Linked DNA regions of Coturnix japonica. The protein of the gene in region 5 interacts with the protein of the main gene of each other region in a pairwise test. Links are inferred from orthologs where the notes say so. Each region holds a gene or a part of one and is shown on either strand. Other genes may lie near its edges.

What was found.
Region 1: the proteins of SMAD4 (region 5) and PIAS1 interact in a two-hybrid assay, tested with the Homo sapiens proteins (2 studies listed by BioGRID and IntAct). The link is inferred for Coturnix japonica from reciprocal best matches to the Homo sapiens genes SMAD4 and PIAS1.
Region 2: the proteins of SMAD4 (region 5) and EWSR1 interact in binary tests that used the Homo sapiens proteins (3 or more experiments, as listed by UniProt). The link is inferred for Coturnix japonica from reciprocal best matches to the Homo sapiens genes SMAD4 and EWSR1.
Region 3: the proteins of SMAD4 (region 5) and RASSF5 interact in binary tests that used the Homo sapiens proteins (3 or more experiments, as listed by UniProt). The link is inferred for Coturnix japonica from reciprocal best matches to the Homo sapiens genes SMAD4 and RASSF5.
Region 4: the proteins of SMAD4 (region 5) and DCP1A interact in binary tests that used the Homo sapiens proteins (3 or more experiments, as listed by UniProt). The link is inferred for Coturnix japonica from reciprocal best matches to the Homo sapiens genes SMAD4 and DCP1A.
Region 6: the proteins of SMAD4 (region 5) and ATF7IP interact in a two-hybrid assay, tested with the Homo sapiens proteins (2 studies listed by BioGRID and IntAct). The link is inferred for Coturnix japonica from reciprocal best matches to the Homo sapiens genes SMAD4 and ATF7IP.

The regions. Positions count from the first base shown.
Region 1 is NC_029525.1:17,355,773-17,359,857, reverse strand, and holds the end of PIAS1 (E3 SUMO-protein ligase PIAS1), read right to left. Parts: coding exon 4,078-4,085; intron 2,575-4,077; coding exon 2,278-2,574; 3' UTR 501-2,277; downstream 1-500. UniProt on the Homo sapiens protein: Functions as an E3-type small ubiquitin-like modifier (SUMO) ligase, stabilizing the interaction between UBE2I and the substrate, and as a SUMO-tethering factor. Catalyzes sumoylation of various proteins, such as CEBPB, MRE11, MTA1, PTK2 and PML.
Region 2 is NC_029530.1:9,960,591-9,963,374, reverse strand, and holds part of EWSR1 (RNA-binding protein EWS), read left to right. Parts: intron 1-430; coding exon 431-468; intron 469-1,048; coding exon 1,049-1,081; intron 1,082-1,991; coding exon 1,992-2,110; intron 2,111-2,665; coding exon 2,666-2,784. UniProt on the Homo sapiens protein: Binds to ssRNA containing the consensus sequence 5'-AGGUAA-3'. Might normally function as a transcriptional repressor. EWS-fusion-proteins (EFPS) may play a role in the tumorigenic process.
Region 3 is NC_029541.1:2,738,722-2,742,221, reverse strand, and holds part of RASSF5 (ras association domain-containing protein 5), read right to left. Parts: intron 1,658-3,500; coding exon 1,545-1,657; intron 530-1,544; exon of another isoform or gene 189-529; coding exon of another isoform or gene 87-188; intron 1-86. UniProt on the Homo sapiens protein: Potential tumor suppressor. Seems to be involved in lymphocyte adhesion by linking RAP1A activation upon T-cell receptor or chemokine stimulation to integrin activation.
Region 4 is NC_029527.1:4,968,262-4,971,761, forward strand, and holds part of DCP1A (mRNA-decapping enzyme 1A), read right to left. Parts: intron 2,084-3,500; coding exon 1,945-2,083; intron 1-1,944. UniProt on the Homo sapiens protein: Necessary for the degradation of mRNAs, both in normal mRNA turnover and in nonsense-mediated mRNA decay. Removes the 7-methyl guanine cap structure from mRNA molecules, yielding a 5'-phosphorylated mRNA fragment and 7m-GDP.
Region 5 is NW_015439872.1:57,627-61,803, forward strand, and holds the start of SMAD4 (mothers against decapentaplegic homolog 4), read left to right. Parts: upstream 1-1,377; 5' UTR 1,378-1,415; coding exon 1,416-1,830; intron 1,831-4,177. UniProt on the Homo sapiens protein: In muscle physiology, plays a central role in the balance between atrophy and hypertrophy. When recruited by MSTN, promotes atrophy response via phosphorylated SMAD2/4.
Region 6 is NC_029516.1:44,491,715-44,495,963, reverse strand, and holds the start of ATF7IP (activating transcription factor 7-interacting protein 1), read right to left. Parts: upstream 2,801-4,249; 5' UTR 2,740-2,800; coding exon 2,693-2,739; intron 1-2,692. UniProt on the Homo sapiens protein: Recruiter that couples transcriptional factors to general transcription apparatus and thereby modulates transcription regulation and chromatin formation. Can both act as an activator or a repressor depending on the context.

The DNA.
Region 1 (4,085 bases), on a different chromosome or scaffold from region 5:
GTATGAGACATATTCCTCATGTAGGTTTAATCACTTTGAAATCAGACTGAGTTTAAAAAATAAGTATTTCCCATTTTCTATCCTTTTATTTTATTTTTTTTTAACTGACATTTAATAAATTATAAAATTGGTGTATGGTGAAATATATATATATATATATATATCAGCCAGATATGTATGAAATACACATGCATGGGAAAAACTATTTAACTCACTTTTAACTCACACACACAGATCTATAAATACATATATACACACACATATACATATAAACACAAACATTTGTTTCCAAAATTCAAGTCAACTATTTAGTGGCAGAGGGATGCTGTAAAAACACTAGAAACAATTTTGATGCCACGTAATCGTGTGAACCTTTCAAAGAACCATACAACTGATCATACAGCAATACCTAATGCTACTTGGATTAACGTGTTTTTGCTTTTTTTTGTCTTTTTTTTTTTTTTTTTTTTTTCCTTTTTTTTTTCTTATTTTCTTTTTTTTTTTTTTTTCCTTTTTGTAATTAATGCAATATTTTGAGACAACTTCATAGGCAAAAGGTGGCCCTCGTCAATGCTCAAAGCAACTATAGCTGCAATCAGCAGCTTGGGACATTAAAAACTCAGACAAGCATCTGCTAACCTCTGTATTCCTCACTCTCTTTCCTGATAAACCTGTTACCTGCACTTCCAACCAGTTACAAAAATAGCTTTCACACCAGAGGAAATCACTTCTCTCTGATGGGACTTTGGGACACAACAGAATCACCTCCTCCCCTCCCCCTGCTCTCACTTTAAAGAATCTCCTGAAAAACTGCATTCCAGCTATTTACACGTTTCTCTGTAACAAGAACGGATCAGCCCAAATGATCCACCAGCTCTTAAAAAAAGGTTTTCCTATGTCACACACAGCTGAAAAAGTGAAGAAAGAAACGAAACCAGGAAGCAAACGTGGCTCCAAGTGTGATGGAAGGGAACTGAAAGGAACGGGGAATCAAAATAACCACCAAGCCATAAAGAGAAAACTGAATGGGAACCCCACAACCCTAAGAGAGACTTCAATAGGCAGAGATTCATTTAAGTGCAGGGAAGGGCACTGGGCTTCTTTTTTGGCTTAACAGACTCACATTAAACATTTAATACCAACTTGGGTGAAGGAGAACTCAGAAGACAGCAAACCAAGACCATTATCGGCTGCACCAACCATGCAATAGAGCGTCGGCATTTGTATTTTCTTCCTTTTGCTGACAAGTTCACTTTTAAGCAGAAATTTGATCTACTGCAGCTAAAAGGAGGTTTTCCAAGCCAGGAGACAGGCCCAACCCAGTGGGCCAGTCCTACACGCGTGGCTGATCTTAAAGCACAAGCAGCTCCACACATTTCAAACTGACACATGCTGAATATTGTGAGTAGGATCTTAAGTTATCTTAAAAGGATTTCATAGTAAGTTGTTAGAAACAAAAACCTACAGTCAGATGTGTCGATGCTTTTCTCTGGGGCTGGATTCTATATGAATTTGGTCTTGTCCCACATAACACAGCCAAACAACTTCTCAGCCTGACATTTTATTGAGTCTGGCCCTCCAGAATAATTGGTGCACTAACAAGCTCACAACATGCTTGATTAAAGCACGGAATTAAAAAGAAAGTCAGCCAAACAGAGGGTCACATAGAACAAGAAATGACAAATAAACACTCCTGAAAGGCTACGTACTGCAAACAGAGGGAACGGTGCGGAACAGGCTGGGTAGGGTTTATTCCACATCGAGCACAACAAAATCTGCACTAAAATGGGATGGGGGAATTCCATTCCACCACCAAATACAGGTGTCTCCAAGAGGCAAAAAAAAAAAGAAAAAGAAAAAAAACAACCCAGAAGTTTGAACTTCAGAAGTTCAGTTCCTTTTCCCATTTCTGTTACTGTGAAGAAAATAATGCCATTTGTGTCCAAACTAAGGGCAAAAGAAATAAGTAACTCACATGACAAATGCACAGGTGTTGAATCTTCAGCATCCATTAAATCCAAGTTCCTTGTTTTTGTGGGTTTTTGTGTGTGTGTTCTGCTTTGTGTTGTGGCATTTATTTATTTATTTATTTTGTTATTTTTTTTATCAGTGAGGCCATCTTAGGTTTATATACAAAAGTAAAACTGAAAATATAGTTTTGTTCTCTGTACATGTAAATTTTTTTCCCTAAAAAAGGAAAAAAACCTGTCTATGTTTCTAACATAAAGTAAAACCAAGCACAAAGACTTCCTCTGACAAGTTCGTTTTCTCCAAAAATCAGTCCAACGAAATAATGTCTGATATGATACCAAAGATAGACGCCGTGTCCGCGCCGCTCCTACTTGCAACTGGATGACCATGATTCTCTCGCAGGCTGTTGGAGGAAACAAGACTGCTGTTACTGCCACTATTGCTACCGTTTGTGGCTGGCAGAGAACTGCTTCCTCCTGCATTTAGCTGATCGAGAAACATCTGAGATGAAGTGTATGGGAAAAAACGAGAGTGTAAGAGTTCTTGATCATCTGATGCGGAAACTGCCGCAGCTGCAGCAGCAAGAAGGGATGTGTTGTAATGCTGGGGGGGGAAAAACAACATTTGCAAGTTACATTTCAGACACCATTGTTTTGATTCAGACCAGCAAAAAAAAAAAGAATATATTTGTAAGCTACAGCTCTGACAGCTTCTGGGTTTCACACCAGCTCGCCCACTCAACCTTTCTGTAAGGTAAACGGATCGATGCAGTGATCTTTTACTTCTGCAGCCTCTGAATTTCAGAGCCAAAAGGAATGGGAAATACTGGCAATTAGTAAGAAAAAACACTAGAAAGGTAGTGGCATTGCAAGACAGCCGAACAGTGAGAAATGTCAAGCAGAAGCACTTGTACCTCTCCATACAACTCCTTGGTGGAAAAATTCCCCAAAATTCAAAGAATCATTTTGCCATCCCTCTGCTCATTAGTCATCAACTACAGCTGGTAAAACTATGGGCTAATCACTGCTGGTGGAGAGAGAAACAGTTCTTCCCTGTGAAAAATACATTTAGAAATATGGGAAATATGTTTAGGCCCATCAGGAGGCAGCAAAGGCCGTCTGAAGTGACACTCTTTGACAGGCAGCACCCAAAAGGCAAGAACTTCAATTATCAAGGTCGGATTTTAAATGTTATTTATCTGTATGGTGCTTCTGCTCTTTATATTTGTTTTAACTACAAGGAAACATCCACACACGTCATTTAGCCTTGTTTCCTGGCACTCGAGCACTGGTACAACTATGCCTTGCCAGTGCAACACCAGACTTTGGCAATACTCATTTCAGAATTATTCTCATGTCTGTCTTTTTACTGAATATGAAGAAAGCTTCTCTGAATCCAAGTTCTGTTAAACAGGCTCTGGACTTTGCAATGACATGGAAGTCCCCTTGTTTTTAGTCCCATTCTCCTACCTGAGAGTGCTGAACAGGAATGGAGGGAAGAAAGGTGGTGAACCACCCCAACCCTCTTCTTTGCTGGGAAGCACTGAAGGGGTAGTGACCAAGTGGGAGAATTCACCAAACCTTTTGAGAACCATCTTTTTAGTTCCCCGAACTGCAGAAGCCAGCACCAAATCTAGTTCATTTCAGTAAGTGCTTACAGGAAAGCAGCAAGCAGTGTGAGCAGGCACACAGCCTCAGGGGAAGAGGAAAATAAAAGGAGCTGCCCTGACTCTCAAAATTGCATAGAGCACTGTCAAGAGACCCAGTGATGGGGCCTAACATGGTCAGATGGAGAAAGATCACACTAACTTAAAGTATGTAAAAGTGTGCATTTTCAGCCACAGCCAAGGGTCATCCTGCAATATACCTGCAGCTAACTAGCTTGAAGCCCTTGAAGAAAAGTCTTTGTCTGCTGTTATGCCTTATCATGCATCTGTATTTAGGATAATGCTTATGTCTGGTTACATCCTATGTGCACAAAAGAGGTACAGTCTGCCTGCACTCACACCTGTGTTACAGATCTGCTCTTTCCTCGCCTATACATCCAAGTCAGCAAGTCCTTATCAGAAAAGCAATCTGCCAGATGGTTTGATTTTCCTTAACTTACCTGATTGT
Region 2 (2,784 bases), on a different chromosome or scaffold from region 5:
TGAACTGTTAATGTCAGGGTCCCGGCAGGCTGAGGGTGCACTTTGTGAACACGCCGCAGGGAGGGAGCGACCAGCGGGCAGCCCTGGATCACAGGGATTGATCTGCAACGCTCACGGATGGGTGTCAGTTTGGTTTGGTGGTTGTTTTCTTTTTGCCAAGTATTGCACTGCTAATACCAATACAAAGTAATGGAAGGGTACCGACAGCAAAGTGGTGTCTAGAACCAGACAAGCGAGGTTGTGTATGTAAAGGAAATTTGAGCGAGCTGCCCTGAAGAAAGGCATAGTGACGAGATGAGAGAGAGAGAGAGACAGATGCATTGTTTGGAGATGTTTAGCCAGTGCCCTTCTTCCCTGTGAGCCGCAGAGGCTCAGAGCGGTACTGGCTTTGTAAAGGGAAAGGCCTTCATTTCTTCGTTTATCCCCCCAGCAGCGCTGGAGAGCGAGGTGGCTTCAATAAGCCTGGTGGTAAGTTTTTGAGCATTACAATGGATAGTGTTTAACGGAAAAAAAAAAAAAAAAAAGAATAATAATAATAATAAATAATAATGATAATAAAACAAACCAATTGCAGTCAGTCTGTAGAAAAAAATAAAGTGTAATTTGTCTTAGTTTTAAGTGGTTAAAAATGACGTATGCAACAAGACTGTAATGGGTAGAGCCGGCCATGCCCAGGGGTACGCGGTTACAGGTGATATGGAAGCATTGAGAAACCACTTCTGTAATTGGGGGAAAAGAAATGGTTTGGATTTGATAATTCTTAAGTAACTTTTGGATTAACCAACTGTAAAACGGATTGGCCTGGTAAAGCATTAAGACAAAAAACCAACCCCACGCAATAGTGGTTAATGGATGGAAAGGCTGCTAAAAACAGCGAACCGGTCGCCACGTAGAGGTGCATTGCTGGTGATTGTGCAGTGCGGGTCAGTTGGAGTTTAACCAGCGCCATCGAATGGTGGTTATAAGTAGATAGTGATGTGTGTGTCGCTCCTTCAGCCCGCAGGGCCTGCACTAACACTGCTTCTTATGGTTCTCTCCCGACTGGCAGGACACATGGAGGAAGGACCGGACCTTGACTTAGGTAATTGTCACTGCTCACACCCCTCCCAGGCTGCTGGCGTGGAGGTTTCTGTGCCCATCTCAGCTGGCAGAAGATGTTGCCCCGTATCTCGCCCTCCCATAACCCAAGTACAGAGGTGCTCTGCTGTTTGCAGTCTCTTTGGGGCTGTTTCATCTGATTCTCTATTCCTGGTTCATCAGAGCGCTTGGACTGGTGGAAGCCCACACGTGTCTGTGAGATGCTTGTGCTTCTCTATGGAGCCAGGGGGCTCTTGCCAAGGAGCTGCTGTGTGGCTGCCTGGAGCAGCAGAAAGCACGTTCCAGGCTGCAGCAGTCTGGAGCTTGTAGGCACTTGTCCAGCAGTCTCCTTCCTCCTTATAAGATCATAGAATGGTTTGAGTTGGAAGGGGCCCTTAAAGGCCGTCTTACCCAACCACCCCCTGCAACAAACAGGGGCACCCACAGCTCCATCAGTGCTCACAGCCCCATTACCTGTGGCTGTCTGCAGGGATGGTGCACCACCCACCACCTCAATGGGCAGCCTGTGCCACCCCCACCTGGGGCCCTTTTCTTCCTCCTGCACAGACACATTTGGTAGTTCCCCATCAGCCTAAGGAAAGAGGGGATTATAGCAGCAGGAGGGGTGAGCATCCACATGCGGGACCTGGAGGATGCAGGGGTGTGTTGTGCCTTTGGGTCTCGCTCATGCCCCATTGCAGAGGTCTTGCATGGTGCCCTGGCCATGCTGGGTGGCTGCAGCAGAGAGCTCAGCCCTTAGCACTGCTCTCTGTGCCTGGGGTTTCCTGGAGTGCCTCAGTTCTATGTCGCTTCATAAATGCACTTATTGAGAGAGAAGCTGCAGCTGGCTGAGGGGTGACGTGCTGCTGGATCGCTGCCTCTTCCACTGCCTGACCCTGAGATTTGTCTCCTAGGCCCACCTATAGACCTGGATGAGGACTTGGACAACAGCTCAGTGTATGTGCAGGGACTCAATGATAACGTGACCCTGGAGGATCTGGCAGACTTCTTCAAACAGTGCGGGGTTGTCAAGGTGAGAGGAACGTGTGTGTGCAGGTGAGCACAGAGAAGGGAGCTGGCTGCCTCCTCCCTGCCCACTGTCCCATTCAGCCCCTTCTGTGGAGCCGGGCAGCTCTGATGGGCAGTGAGATCAGCACAGCCTGGAGCTGCCCTGTAGCACAAGCTCCCCAAAAGATCCTCATCAAGCTTTGTCCCTCTGTGCACTTCCATCAGCCATGCAGAAGCAGCAGTGCTTACAGACTCAGGAAGCATCCGTCTGTGGATCTGCTGCGGGTGGGATGTGTGACAGCTTGAGCGCAGGGCGGTGGGGAGAGTGGAGGAGGATGTGGGGAGGCTGCAGCTCCATTCCTGCACTCACAGGAGCCTGCAGGAGAGGCTGCTGGGCCAGTTCCTGCTTTTGGTTGCCATGGGTGGCTGTTGGTGTGGTAAGCCAGAGGGCCATTTCTCTTGCCACGGAGTTGCTAAGTGGAAGTGTTAGCTCAGATCAAAAGCAGAACAGGGGGGAGAGCCCCCACTCGGTGTATACGGGGATGTGTGACTTGTTATAAATGATTTGATGTCCTGCTAGATGAACAAGAGGACTGGGCAGCCCATGATACACCTCTACATTGACAAAGAAACTGGCAAACCGAAAGGAGATGCCACGGTCTCTTATGATGACCCATCCACTGCCAAAACAGCTGTGGA
Region 3 (3,500 bases), on a different chromosome or scaffold from region 5:
AGCAGCACCTGCAGCCAAACGTGCACAGAGCTCACCACCACCTCCCGCATCGCACAGCCCTCCTCTCTGCATTGCTGAGCCGTTACCTTGGTGGGTCCCTTGCTCTGCGCGCTGCGGAAGAAAGAGGTTTTTGCAGTGAAAAAACAATCCTCGAGGTCTTCATCCAAGCTGCAGTACCCGCTGCTCATGCTGCCGCCGATGGCTCATCGAAGGCGGCTCCGCAGCGCTCACATCCCGCACTGCCTGGCTCTCATCTGCATCTCCTGCTGCTCATCCTCAGCAGCGATTGCTCCTGAGTTCGGGTAACCCTTCTCTCTCCTCCTCCTCCTCTGTGCAGCATGGAGCGGCCGCCGTGTCGTTTCGCCCCCAGCTCGCTGCGCAGCATTGCCTCCCCCTTCCTGCTGCGCAAAGCGCCCGCTTCCTCATTGCAAAATCTCTCACCCTTAGAGCAGGGATTGAAGCGCTGGGCAGCCCCGGAGCCTCCCGTGGTGCTGCTGAATGGAAACGTGTCCTTGATGTGGAGCTTAGAAAGAGAGCTGCTCCTTCCCTGCATCCCAAACACAGGCTGGAGCGAGGGATGCTCGCAGAGATGCGCTGCATCCAAAAAGAGGTGGGGAAGGGGTACAAGCCCTGCAGTGCTGTGCAGGGGGCAGTGAAGGTCCATCTGCTCTGCAGATGCTTTGGGAGCTGTGTAGGTACAAGCCAAGGAAATGCTGCCCAGCTCCTTGACCCCGTTTGCAGCAACCCCCTCACTGCAGGGGGATGGAAACTCATGCTCCACAACTCAGCCTGACACAGACCCCAGCTCGGGGCTGCTCCCATCCGCCAGTGTAGATAAGGAGGCTCCAGGCTGCTTTCTAGTTATGCTCAAGCCGCAAATATTTAGAAGCTTTGCAGACAGGGAATGCATTTTTCTTCTCCTCTGCAGCGCTGGGTCATAATTAGAAGAGAAATAGGCTTAAATCAAGCGTGCAGGGCATGAGCAGAACCAAGTGCTGTGTCAGGTGCAGAGCTGGGTCAGCTGGAGATCACCTTTGGTGACATCAAGGCTGAAAATATGATTCAAATCCTTTGTTCTTGTAGGAAATCCCACATCAAGGTGCTGTAGCCCCAGGGTTGAGCCAGGCAGAGGCTGTGCTGGCTGCACTGCACCCAGGGAGAGCAATCTGGGACCTAAACACAACACACTTAAGTACTTTGCTGGATCAAGGCCCATATTATTAATGCTTGGTATGAAGTGCCAACAGGACTTTACTAACTTTCTCCGATGCTCCTGCTTTGCTTACATTTGATAATACTATTTACTGGCTGCCAACTACACCAGCCACGGCATTTCCCACCCTTCCAGTGTGCTGTTCTCCATTTCCCCAGTGTATTCTGGCACCTATTCCCTTTTCAGATGATGGGCACAGAAGCAAGATGCACAGGGAATTTATTAGCAAGCATCAATTAGGGCCACGGGCCGACCTCTGCAATGAAATCTCACCCTGCTAAGAGCAAAGAAATGGGCTTTGGGAAAGAGGCTGACCACCATGAGGGCATACCTGGCTGCAGGGGAGCACAATGGTGCCCACAGGAGAGAGCTGCCCGGGGTCAGGCCGGCGGCAGTCCAGCTGGACGAGGCTGCAGCATTGCTGATGGCACGTGTACCTGCAATCTGGGAGAGAACAGAGCCGTGCTGTGATGGGAGAGCAGCCAGAAGCCCCATGTCCTCCCCATTGCGCTCTACCAACACCCATGGGTGCTGTCTGCAGCCACATCCAGCCCCTCTGAGTGCTCCCCCCACTCCAACAGCCCTTTTAATTTTTAACAGCCCCACAAACAGCATTCAATCAATTATTTCTTACACAACCCACAATTCCAGTGCAGTCATTGACCTGTTGGCCACCCAGCACCCACTCCTCCCCAAAACCAACACCCTCAGCATTGCAGAGGCCCCCTCTACAAGAAAACCTGCCTTTCCCTCTATTATTTTTGGGCACTTGGGTCATTGCTTTTGAACCCCTTGGACTTGCAGAAAGCAAAGTGACATCCCATAGAATCAGATCTCTGCCCCTATCAAGGAATTCCCAAGCAGGAGCAGAGCATTCACGCAGTGCCTGAGTATCTCCCTCAGAGGAACCATTGATTGCTTAGCATTCAATTGACACCAGCTGCCATCCTACCATTTCCAGCTGGTTGTCTCAAGGCTGGGAGGCAAGCAAGGGGGTCTTCTGATTGATTTTTTTCCCCCCTCTTAATTTTAATGAGGGATAAGCCAAGCAGTTGCATGGTAATGCAATGCATGACCTTTCAAACAGCTGGAGCAGCTGCTCAGTGGGACATTTGCCAGCTCTATGCTGCAAGGTGCCAAGCACAGCAGGCTGTGATTGCAGCCCCACCTGAGCAACCAACACAGCAGCCCCCAAAGGCATCACATTCAGATGTCCCCATGCACGGCATGTAGGATGGGAATGATGGAGCACCCACAATGGGGAGCAGTCTGTAGTGTGAAATACAGACCACAAATCACTGAGTCCACCCCCATCACAGCCAGGCATTTCCCCCTTAGGATTACAGCATGACACCTCCTTAGTCACCGCCGCCTATTAGCAGCCCTAATCACCACTATCTGGTGGGCAGCACTAATTTTAGAAGCCCAGCACAGCCCTGGGAAGCAGCCACGTGATGGGGCAGGATGCCTCCATTGCGGCCGTGAGATCATTTCTATTCGAGTCAAACAAAGCCACCGCTGGAAACAGCTTCTTTAAGTAAAGAAAACCCTCGAGTCTGATCACAACATAGCAAGAAACTTTAGTAGCTGAAAGGAACTTCCCTCTGCATGCAGATAAAGCTTATCAGAGTGATAACATTGGATGTGCAACTGAACCCCATCTGGGTGCTCATCCATCTGCCTAAGCGCAGCTTGCAGTCACCCTGCCCAGCCCTGTGTGCCATTGGCATCCTTTGATATAATGCTCTTCAAAGCTGTCCAGCTTCATAGGGTAACCCCAGCCATTGCACCAAGCTGGGACAGGAGCACAAAGCAGCCACTGGGTGGGTGATGCTCTAAAGCCATTGCTTCTTAATGGAGCAGCTTCCCTGCTGAGGCATGAAGCACTTCCAGCTGTGCTCTATGGAACCCCATTACCCCCCTTCATTAACAACAGCAACCAACAGACACCCAAACACAGCCCCTACCTCTCAGCAATGAGCCCTCCCTGCTCAGCCTCTGCGGTCCCTCGGAGCAAGACTTGGACTTGAAAAAGTGCCTGAATACTTTGCGGATTCTCTTTGCAATGAACCCAAAGCAAACAGCAGCCTCTGCTCTGCCCTCCGACATCCTCAGCAGGGGGACCAACACTCCCAAGGCAGCACAGCACTGCGCAGAGCAGCGCCTGCCTCCACAGCCTTATCCCATGGAGATAAAGCATTGACATGAGCCATCGGTGAATCTATTTGACGGATACATTTATTTATATATTTAGAGCACAGTGGAGCCCATTGCACAGCTCGGGGCT
Region 4 (3,500 bases), on a different chromosome or scaffold from region 5:
AACACAGTGTTTCCCTTCACAAGAGGATAATCTGCAATGTTTCCATTCTCAGAATGAAATACACACAGAAACACTATAAAAAGCATCCATTCACTTCATTAAAAAAAAAAATCTCGGAGTTCATTCATTTTCACATATGGCCTCGATGGAGCAAGTACTTGAAGGATTAAGCTGATTTGGAATCCTAGATTAAATCACTCAGACCTTCATAAATCTCTTTTTCACTCTCTCTGCCCCCTTCTCATGCTGACACTCCGCCAATCTCATGTGGGCTGCACACAAGGATTACTGTATGATCCATCTGGAATGTACCATGCAGATAAGTACTTTCTGCTCCTAAATACAAATTCAATTGTAATTAATGAGTGCCATAAAATAATTTTTAAAAGATTTAGACAAAAAAGGATATCTTAAGAAGCCATCTTCAAGTTGCTTTACCCAATCACATTAACAATAATGTATGATGCTTACAAGGAATTCCTAAGTTCACTTGCCTGGAGCGGTCAGTAGAACATTCTCCAAGAAGTTTGCTTGATTCTATTTAACTACCAACTTGTACAGAACTGCAGTCATAGCAGGTTAAGGGATTAACTTCAGCAGATTCACTTTTCAGCTCATACACGTACAAAGCAAAGATTTTCTAGTTACAAAGGTGCTCTAAAAGCATCAGGCAGGACAATCAAGATTGAGAGGCAAAGAAGTCACATATGTAGTACATCTGTGTATTTCCATACTGCGTGACAGCTGCCACTGTCTATTTATCAGCATTTTACCTTTCTGCAGAGCTTCATCCATTATGCTCAGGAATTCTGTTTCTAGGGAAAAGCTTCCAAAACTCACATAAGACCAGAAAATTAAGAAAGGAAAAGCTGAAATCCTGCATGATTTTTTTCTCCTTTAATAAGAAAAAAACATTCCACTTCTTTAAATGTGATCTTCACAAACTAGTATCTAGCCCAGGTCAACTACAGTCTATAGACTGTCACATTAATCTATCCTCACACTACATGAGAAACTGAATAGAAGTTGGCTTGCACGTGGCTTAGTCCATGTGTTCTTTCCTCCCTCCTCATTCCACAATGTGTTGTAGCAACCTAGAATTGTATGAGGATCTTGCATTTACTCTAGTTTCGGCACTAGAAATGAAGCACTGAAATGCTTCTACCTTTTCCCCCACCAATAGAGCTAAAAACACATACCATATTTCTGCTACATTACACCTATAAATTACTTTTGTATATTTTTGTATTATTAGGCTTAGAAAGAAATGCTTTCAGAATTTCTTGGGCAATATAAACCCTTCCCTGTAGGCCACTGTACTTCTTGGCTTCTATCACAGGCATAGGACAGTACACAGCTTTTGAGCTCTTACTTAAAGCCAAAGCAATTTGGTTTGCAACCTAATGAACGCTGTTGATTATGGCACGAATAATAGCAAACCTCCTCCAGTGATTTTCAGTACAGAGGAAAAAAATGAAAAAAACAAGTGTCAGCTACTATTAAGGAATATTCAGAGGATCACAAAAACAGGCACAGTCATCTACTCTTCTACAGAGTTACATAGTTGTTCACATTTTCTTTGTGACTGATCTCAAGACATGACAGTAGATGAACAGTGATACTATGGAGCCTCTACATCCAGTTTTAGAAAAAAAATGCATCTGTTGCATTTGCTTTCCCAGGTACCTGCTTTTTCTCCATGATCCAGCAGTTCAAACATATAAAATTACAGGCCCAATAAATTATGGATTACATGTGCTACTTTGCAATCTTAGGTGACAGCATACTACGCAGTACAATCCAGTATACAAGAATACTTCGCTACCATTGCTCTCATAGGTCACAAGGAATGCACTTTGCCAGTGTCCATATGAGGCCTTAACCCCCAAATAAACAAGTGTTTTTATTTGTTCATAATGCAAGAAAATAAACATATTTCCTTACCCGTTCATATTCAACCTTGGCTTTACTAAGCATTTCCAGGATGTCAATAGGCCTGTTCTCACTGCAGCCATTTGTTCTGCTGGGACTTTTTCTGTCCTGGGAAACTTGCTGCGATCTCTGAGCTTCTTGTTCTACCACTCTGTAACAGGAAAGGAGAAATGAGTTTTCAACATTTTATCTTTTTTTTTTTTTACCTTTTTTTTTTTATTTTTCAAACAATAAAATATGTGGACATCAGTGCTGTACACAGAGCACATGTATTATAACAGACTGAGTAGAATATTTTTATTACTTGCTTCTTAACATGCAGTGTTTCCATGTTTAGCCACACCAAGTCACATTATTCAACAAAACCAATAACAAACCAGTTCCAATTTAGGACAAAGCCTACCATTAGAAAACAAAATACTCAAGGGAAGGAGAGTGCTGGATCATACCAGATGTCTCTGGAGTCAGACTGGAAAGAAGCTTAAAGCAAGCTACCCCTTCCTCCCCCAATAAGAACTTAAGAAAGAAGAGCAAACCATTTTCTTTTTCAGCTGTCTAGCGGTAAATCCAGTTACTTGTAGGCTTACAACAATGCACTTCCTCTGGTCTTTGATGCCTATGGTTCATTCAACACTTCTCCACTACCCCTACTGCCTTAAGGCTAAGAAAACTTGTTAAAAGATTATTAAGATACACACAGTGAAGATGTATACCTCATGCATTTCATTAATGAAAGTAAAGGCAACATATATTCCTACTCCTAATCCATTCGCAGTTCACAAGATACACATGGCCATGCAATGCACTAACGCTTATCTTCTTGAAATAAACATACACCAGCCTGTAATCCCCTCTTTTTTAAGCCTGCATTAATCAAATATGTTAAGAAAAAAACCGAGCACTGAAAGCAGGGCAGAGCTCTGGCACATCACTTAAACTCTCATGCTGTGGAGCTGATGGGGGAGCCGAGAGGTGCCATCACAGCAATCACAGAAAGCGTCAATCATTCCAGCCTCCAGTTCCTTCTGGTCAGCTACGATTCAGGAGTAACTCTGGAATGTACAGATTGCTGAGTAAATAGATATTTGTATGTACCTCTACACTAACGCTTCTAAGGAAAAAAACAACACAAGTCTGCAATTTCTCCCAGTTTTCTGGGAGACCCTTCAGTAGAGTTCAGCCATGTTTACTTGAAGAAAGAAAAAAGGCAACAGACTTAATCAGGAAAAGCAGTTTCAAAACTTATAATCATACATGCTGCTTATTTGATCAGATTTTCATTACTCACTAAAGCTTTCCCTATTTGTATGCAAGATTTAACCTGCAAACCAAACTCAGAATCTGGGGGCCAATCTACTCAGACAATTTCTAAGAACTGCAACATGTGCTGGTTTGGCTGAAGCAGCTCAATACTGTACGAACGTTTCTATGGTGACACCATCAGAGTACATTTTGTTCTAGCACCCCACATGGTCATACAGTCCTGACTTGGGACTTGTCTAAACGTAAATCCAAAACTAGGGATGAGAAAAGGCAAGATGAAAGAAACAGAACACTTTGAGTCAGCA
Region 5 (4,177 bases):
TCTTACCGTGTGTCCACGACGCCTCAAGACCCGGATGTAGCTTAGGCCGCTCCCCGTTGTGCGCACGCAACATGGAGGCGGCTCTTAAGGCCGCGCCGCGAGTGCCCGGATGTTGCGCATGCGCACCTCCAAACCCGGAAGTGCCTTCCAGATACCCGTATGTAACTCAAACCCGGAAGTCCCTCCAAATCCCCGGATGTACTGCGGGTTCCCAACCCGGAAGTCCCCGGATGTAACTCAAACCCGGAAGTCCCTCCAAGTCCCCGGATGTCACTCAAACCCGGAGGTCCCTCCCAGATCCCCGGATGTACTGCGGGTTCCCAACCCGGAAGTCCCCGGATGTAACTCAAACCCGGAAGTCCCTCCAAGTCCCCGGATGTCCCTCAAACCCGGAAGTCCCTGCAAGTCCCCGGATGTACTGCGGGTTCCCAAACCCGGAAGTCCCCTCTAAATCCCCGTATGTAACTCATGCTCACTCCCAAACCCGGAAGTCCCCTCTAAGTACCCGTATGTAACTCAAACCCGGAAGTCCCTCCCAGATCCCCGGATGTACTGCGGGTTCCCAACCCGGAAGTCCCCGGATGTAACTCAAACCCGGAAGTCCCTCAAACCCAGAAGTCCCTTGTAAGTCCCCGGATGTAACTCAAACCCTGAAGTCCCTCCCAGATCCCCGGATGTACTGCGGGCTCCCAACCCGAAAGTCCCCTCTAAGTACCCGTATGTAACTCAAACCCGGAAGTCCCCTCTAAGTCCCCGGATGTACTGCGGGCGTCCAACCCGGAAGTCCCTTCTAAGTCCCCGGATGTAACTCAAACCCGGAAGCCCCTCCAAGTCCCCGGATGTAACTCAAACCCGGAAGTCCCTCAAACCCGGAAGTCCCTTGTAAGTCCCCGGATGTCCCTCAAACCCGGAAGTCCCTGCAAGTTCCCGGATGTACTGCGGCTTCCCAACCCGGAAGTCCCCTCTAAGTCCCCGGATGTAACTCAAACCCGGAAGTCCCTCCCAAATCCCCGGATGTACTGCGGGTTCCCAACCCGAAAGCCCCCTCTAAATACCCGTATGTAACTCAAACCCGGAAGTCCCTCTAAGTTCCCGGATGCAGAAGTCCCTCCCAAATGCCCGGATGTAACTCAAACCCGGAAGTCCCTCCCAGATCCCCGGATGTACTGCGGGTTCCCAAACCCGGAAGTCCCCGGATGTAACTCAAACCCGGAAGTCCCTCTAAGTACCCGTATGTCCCTCAAACCCGGAAGTCCCTCCAAATCCCCGGATGTAACTCAAACCCGGAAGTCCCTCCCAAATCCCCGGATGTACTGCGGCTTCCCAACCCGGAACCCCCCCTAAGTACCCGGATGTGCTGCGTCCCTCCATCTTAGCGGCCTCCATCGGGCTCTCCATCGTTCCCGGTGTCCGCCATGTCCATCTCCACCCCCCCCAGCAGCAACGACGCGTGTCTGAGCATCGTGCACAGCTTAATGTGCCACAGACAGGGAGGAGAGAGCGAGACCTTCGCCAAACGAGCCATCGAGAGCCTCGTTAAGAAGCTGAAGGAGAAGAAAGACGAGCTGGATTCTCTCATCGCCGCCATTACGACCAACGGGGCTCACCCGAGTAAATGCGTGACTATACAACGTACATTAGACGGGAGGCTGCAGGTGGCTGGGAGGAAAGGGTTCCCCCATGTGATCTATGCGAGGTTATGGAGGTGGCCCGACCTGCATAAGAATGAGTTGAAGCACGTCAAGTATTGTCAGTACGCGTTTGATCTCAAGTGTGACAGTGTGTGTGTCAACCCGTATCATTACGAGAGGGTGGTGTCGCCTGGGATCGGTGAGTACAATGGGGTCCTATGGGGTCCTATGGGGTCCTATTGGGGTCCTATGGGGTCCTATGGGGTCTATGGGGTCCTATTGGGTCCTATGGGTTCCTATTGGGGTCTATGGGGTCGTATTGGGGTCCTATGGGGTCCTACAGGGTCCTATGATATAATGGGGGGAGATACGCAATTTGTGTAAGGGAGGCCATAGGAAATAATGGGGGAGATACGGAGTTTGCGTAGGGGAAGTTACGCAATTTGCGTAAGGGACTAGGGAGCCAATGGGAGGAGTTACGCAGTTTGCGTAAGGGCGGGGGGTTCGATAATGGGAGTTACGGAGGTTGCGTAAGGGAAGTTACGTAGTTTGCGTAAGGGACTATGGTGGTTAATGGGGGGGGAGTTACGCAAACTGCGTAAGGGGCTTCTATGGAGTCCTATTGAGTTCTATGGGGTCCTATTGAGTTCTATGGGGTCCTATTGAGTTCTATGGGGTCCTATTGGGTTCTATGGGGCTCTATGGGGTCCTATTAGGGCCTATGGGGTCCTATTGGGGTTCTATTGGGGTCTATGGGGTCCTATGGGGTCCTATGGGGTCCTATTAGATCCTATGGGGTCCTATAGGGTCCTATGGTGTCCTATTGGGGTCTTATGGAGTCTGTGGGGTCCTATGGGGTCCTATGGGGTTCTATGGGGTTCTATGGGGTCCTATTGAGTTCTATGGGGTCCTATTGGTTTCTATGGGGTCCTATTGATTCCTATGGGGTCCTATTGATTCCTATGGGGTCCTATTGGTTTCTATGGGGTCTTATTGGGGTGTATGGGGTCCTATTAGATCCTATAGGGTCCTATTGAGTTCTATGGGTTCCTATGGGGTCCTATTGGGGTCCTATTGAGTTCTATGGAGTCCTATTAGATCCTATGGGGTCCTATGGGGCTCTATGGGGTCCTATGGGGCTCTATGGGGTCCTATTGATTCCCATTGGGTTCCTATAGGGTCCTATTGGGGTCTATGGGGTTCCTATTGGGGTCCTATTAGATCCTATAGGGTCCTATTGAGTTCTATGGGGTCCTATAGGGTCCTATTGAGTCGTATTGGGATCCTATTAGATCCTATGGGGTCCTATTGATTCCTATGGGGTCCTATTGAGTTCTATGGAGTCCTATTGGTTTCTATGGGGTCCTATTGATTTCTATGGGGTCCTATGGAGTCCCATTGCATCCTATGGGGTCCTATGGGGTCTATGGGGTTGAAGCACGTCAAGTATTGTCAGTACGCGTTCGATCTCAAGTGTGACAGTGTGTGTGTCAACCCGTATCATTGGGGTCCCATTGGATCCTATGGGATTCTATGGGGTCCTATGGGGTCCTATGGGGTCCTATGGGGTCGTATTGGGGTCCTATGGGGTCCTATCGGGTCGTATTGGGGTCCTATAGGGTCCTATGGGGTCCTATTGAGTTCTATAGGGTCCTATGATTTAATGGGGGGAGATACGTAAATTGCGTAAGGGAGGCCATAGGAAAGAATGGGGGGAGTTACGCAATTTGCGTAAGTGAGGGCTCAGGTTACGCAATTTGCGTAAGGGAGTGCGGTAGTTATAATGGGGGGGAGATACGGAGCTTGCGTAAGTGGGAGTCGGGTTACGCAATTGACGTAAGGGAATAGGGGTTTATAATGGGGAGGAGTTACGCAATTTGCGTAAGGGACTACGGGGTTTATAATGGGTCCTATTGGGTTCTATGGGTTCCTATGGGGTCCAATGAGGTCTTATGGGGTCTATGGGGTCCTATTAGATCCTATGGGGTCCTATTAGATCCTATGGGGTCCTATGGGGTCTATGGGGTCCTATGGGGTCGTATTGGGATCCTATGGGGTCCTATTGGGTTCTATGGGGTCCTATTGAGTTCTATGGGGTCCTATTAGGGTGTTATTGGGATCCTATGGGGTCCTATGGGGTCCTATTGGTTCCTATGGGATCCTATTGAGTTCTATGGGGTCCTATGGGGTCTTATGGGGTCTATGGGGTCCTATAGGGTCCTATTGGGATCCTATGGGGTCCTATTGGGTCCTATTGAGTTCTATGGGGTCCCATTAGATCCTATGGGGTCCTATTGGGGTCCTATTAGATCCTATGGGGTCCTATTGAGTTCTATGGGGTCCTATTGAATCCTATGGGGTCCTATTGGATCCTATGGGATCCTATTAGATCCTATGGGGTCCTATTGATTCCTATGGGGTCCTATTGAGTTCTATGGAGTCCTATTGGTTTCTATGGGGTCCTATTGAGTTCTATGGGGTCCTATTGATTCCTATGGAGCCCCATTGGTTCCTATTGGGTCCTATAGAGTCCTATTGGATCCTAT
Region 6 (4,249 bases), on a different chromosome or scaffold from region 5:
TCCATTAGAGTGCCGTGCTTCCATTTAGGTAATCAATGTATTTCAACTATGAAAGAACAAATAAAAATACTGAAAATGTGGGAGGAAGGGAAAAAGAGTAATCTTTTCAGCTACCAGTATTACTGTCTACTCAAAACATCTGAAAACAGAAGTTCCATGTTAACATTGATTTCAGGACCTAACATATTGCATGCATTCCAATGTCCATTTCACTGAAGGAAAAAAACCCAACCCACCCAACTACAAAACACTCCATAGCTCCCTTCTGAACCAGTTATTTCCTACAGCAACTCCAAAAATGATAACACTTTTTAATGTCCTGCTATAAAGTAAACCAAAGATCAAAGGAATTGGCAAACACTGTGGAGACAAGGTGTTCCTCTAAACCCTGGTAATCTCTGTCCATTTTGCTTTGTTTGTAAAATGGAAGTTAACTTACTTAACTGACATAAAGCTGACATAAAACACCAAAAAAATTTAAAAAAATAAAATAAAAAAATAAAGGCACAAAAAGAACTGCATGAGAGAGCTGATGTGAATATACACTGCTGTACCAAAGCCTAACACATGTTAAAAACCAATCCTTACAACAAAAGTCCAAAAAAAGACGCCACCTTCCCTTTTTGTGTTCCTCTAAAAGAGGGGTTAACAAAACAGCAGAAAACAGAGTCAATATTTCTTGACAATTTTCACGTATACATGCAATAAAGCATGTTTGAGACAAAATATCCTTTTCAGTGTTTACAAAGTAGCAATTCAGTTATCATAAAGAATGGATTCCTTCTTTTTGTTTCAAAGAATGAGTTATTAACATCTGGAATTAACTGGAAACAATTAACAGCTAAAACTACACAAACAGAAACCTCAGCAATCTTTTGTAAGATGGGGTCAGGATGACATGAGTCATTATCTTACAGGAAATCAGAGACTCTCTGGGAGATGGGAAGATGGAAGTCTTGTTACACTACTAGCATGCATTTATTATAAATAAGGCACATTTTAGCTAGATTTAAATAGGCCTTACTGACCAAATTCTCAAGACATTCCGACATGCCCAAATTATTTCTGTGTCTTTAACTACCTTATCCAATCAAGAAAGGCCACTATAAACATTTAAGTCAAGAATGACCGAAAAGAATTGTATGAGTAATAAAAACAAGTAATAGGACTACCTGTCAGCTTCAACTGCAATCACACGTAGGTGTTATTGCTATCACTTACCTGTTATTCTAAAGCAGGAATCTCTTACAGGAACTAGATTTACGAAGTTTACAGTTAGTTGAAGTCAAGAATCAATCCACCCTTAAATTCCTGTGTTTTAGTGATTTTTGTGAAAAAAATCACTTTCTGTTCTTGTATTAGATACAAAGGTAAGCATGCAGCAATGTCTCCTGAGAACCTGACATGCACCATTTGCTCAAAATACTTCATTATTTTCAAAATGGTACATTGCCAATAACATTAGAAGATCATTTATGTAAACAGATATTTCAGAACTAATTTAACCACAAAGTACTTTGTAACAAGACATGTAAAAAGAAACAAACAAACAAAAAAACATGAATCAACATGCAAAAATATTGAAGGAATAAACTTTTTTAAGCATTTAATATGGACTTTCACAATTTTTGCATTAAGTTCACCTTCAGACAAGAAAAATACTATGTAGTCACTCATAAATACTGATGAATTACTCAGCTCTTCTGCTACTTCTGAGATCTCTCATGAGAACTTCAAGTAACTTCCTATTTAATTACTACAAAATTAACTCACATATAGCTTAAGACCCCATGAAAACCTTAATTAGGTAATTTAGTCCGATGCAAACAAGATAATAAATTACTAATGTGGAAAAGTATCTCCTTTCTCTTACTCTTTCAATCTGAACACTGCTTTTCTCCTGTTTTCATGGTCTTGGACACCAACACCTATCACCTACATTTAATTAAGTTTCAGCATGACAGATACCCAGGCGACCTTCAATGAGTAACATGCAGAAAACACCCAGGTCATAAGAAGCCACTGGAACTCTGAAACTCAGATTTCATATAAGAAAAGAACAATTTACTCTATATCTTTCACTTTATTATTTGTAGCAGTTCTGCAAGATTTATACAGCTCTTATTCTTGACTAATAACTAACTGTTACCTGCAAAATAGTTAATATTTACATAATTATTGCTATTCCAATGTGTTTATGCAGGTTTTGAAATTTTAATTTAACATTGGAAAAAATTAACTTGTTGAAAATACAGTATCAAATGTAAATCTAGCTACTTGATAAAGAGTTTATTTTATAAAATAAATATAATAAGTATAAAATATAAAATAAATATAAGATGAAAATATAAAACGTGGCAAGATTTTGAAAAATGAGTAGCATGAAGTAAGAGCTCTTTCTGGCCTGGTAAGGAAGCGAACCACAATTAAATCACTTGTTAAGCAAGATATATGTGTGACCTTTGACCTCTTCAACCCCACCCCATCTACCCTGTAACTGAGAAAAGATAAGAGATCTATGAACTAATTCAATGAGAGGGGTAAAGCAACAACATGACAACCACCCTCCTACTGACAAGGAAAAAAGAAAAAAAAAGAAAAAAAAAAATCACACTTTTCCAGGTTAAAATTCCAAATTTCATTCAGCCAAAATGATAGAATTGCTTCTCAGCAAAGCAGAACTGGCGCTTACCTCCAAGGTCTGAAGCATGTGATGCCATCAGCTCTGCTCATTTGCATACAATCAAGCTAAACTGCTGCAATGAACACTTTGTCAGCCATTTTGAAACTGCACTGTCTGAGCTGCACTGAAAATGTGATTAAGATGGCTGCGATGTGCACTCAAGACCAGCCATTCAGTGACAACTCAGCAGTGGATAAAGCTTTTACACAGCAGAGCACCTCCCTCTTCACTACACTGCAACAAACTGCACAGGCAGAGGGGGGCCAGATAAAAGGTTTCTTAGGCAGAAAATGGTTAATGCATGGCTGCAACATTACCAGTGGTGTTCTGAGTAGCTGCAAAAAGAAAGCAAAAATAAACAAAGACCCGCTGGATGTTGAAAGACGCAGCATTGCTAGGTCTGCAATCCAGAATTTGTATCACATACTCCAAATTCTCCCTTACTCCGGGCAGTTCAGAATCCATGTCACACATTAACAGCCATAGACAGAGCCAAATCATGGCTAGACCTGACAAGTATTAGGGATTAATTTTGAAGATCAGCCTTTTTTTTTTTCTCTTATAAAAACAAACAAACAAAAGTATCTGTACCTTTTTACAGTAGTGGCTCTTTTGAAACATTAGTTAATCAATAAAACAGCTTTAGTTGGGGGGTGGGGAAAAATGAAGGTAGAAATGAGGAAGCTGCTAACAAAACAAACAAAGAAAAACACCAAACCACAAGTCAGGAACACCAAAGAACTTCAGTAAAGCCCAGAATTCACATACTTAAGTCTTACATAATGTATTGCATCACTGTTACAGATTATTTTTTTTTTCTTCCAGAACCATCTAGAATCCTTTCAGTAATTTTGTTCATGCTGCTATTGTTTTGGTTTTTAAGTTTGCTCCTGGAGATCAAGCAGATTTGGAAATTCAGGGGAGGGAGAAGCGGTGAAGTGAGGGAGGGGTTACAGGCAGGGGAACGTTAGACAAATACACAGCTTTCACATAAGTAGAATAGGACACAAGTTCCCCGTTAAGATCTGTTCATTAGCACCAATAATAACCGGGGCTGTTTAGTCTGGGGAAAACGAGGTTGAGAGGAGACCTTATTGCTCCCTTCCAATATCTGAAAGGTGCTTACAGTGAGAGCAGGGTTGGTCTCCTCTCACTGGTGACAGGATGAGGGGAAATGGCCTCAAGTTGTGCCAAGGTAAGTTTAGATTACCGAAAGGGTTGTTAAGCACTGCAATGGGCTCCCCAGGGAGGTGGCTGTCACCATCCCTGGATGTGTTTAAAAACTGTTTGGGTGTGGTGCTCAGGGAGACGATTTAGTGGAGGGTTGTTAGTTCGGGTAGTATGGTTAGGTCATGGATGGACTCTATGATCTTTAAGAATCGCTCAGACTGGAAAAGACCAATGATTCTATGATCTGCTCTCATCCAAGCAATAGTGCACGAGATCTGGAAGGAGCACTGCCATATCTGCATTGCTTCATCATGTAACTCGTCTAGAAAATCCAAACACAGCTATTTTTAAATAACTGCAAGAACAGACAGAGCTATTTTGAAAGAAATTAGCACT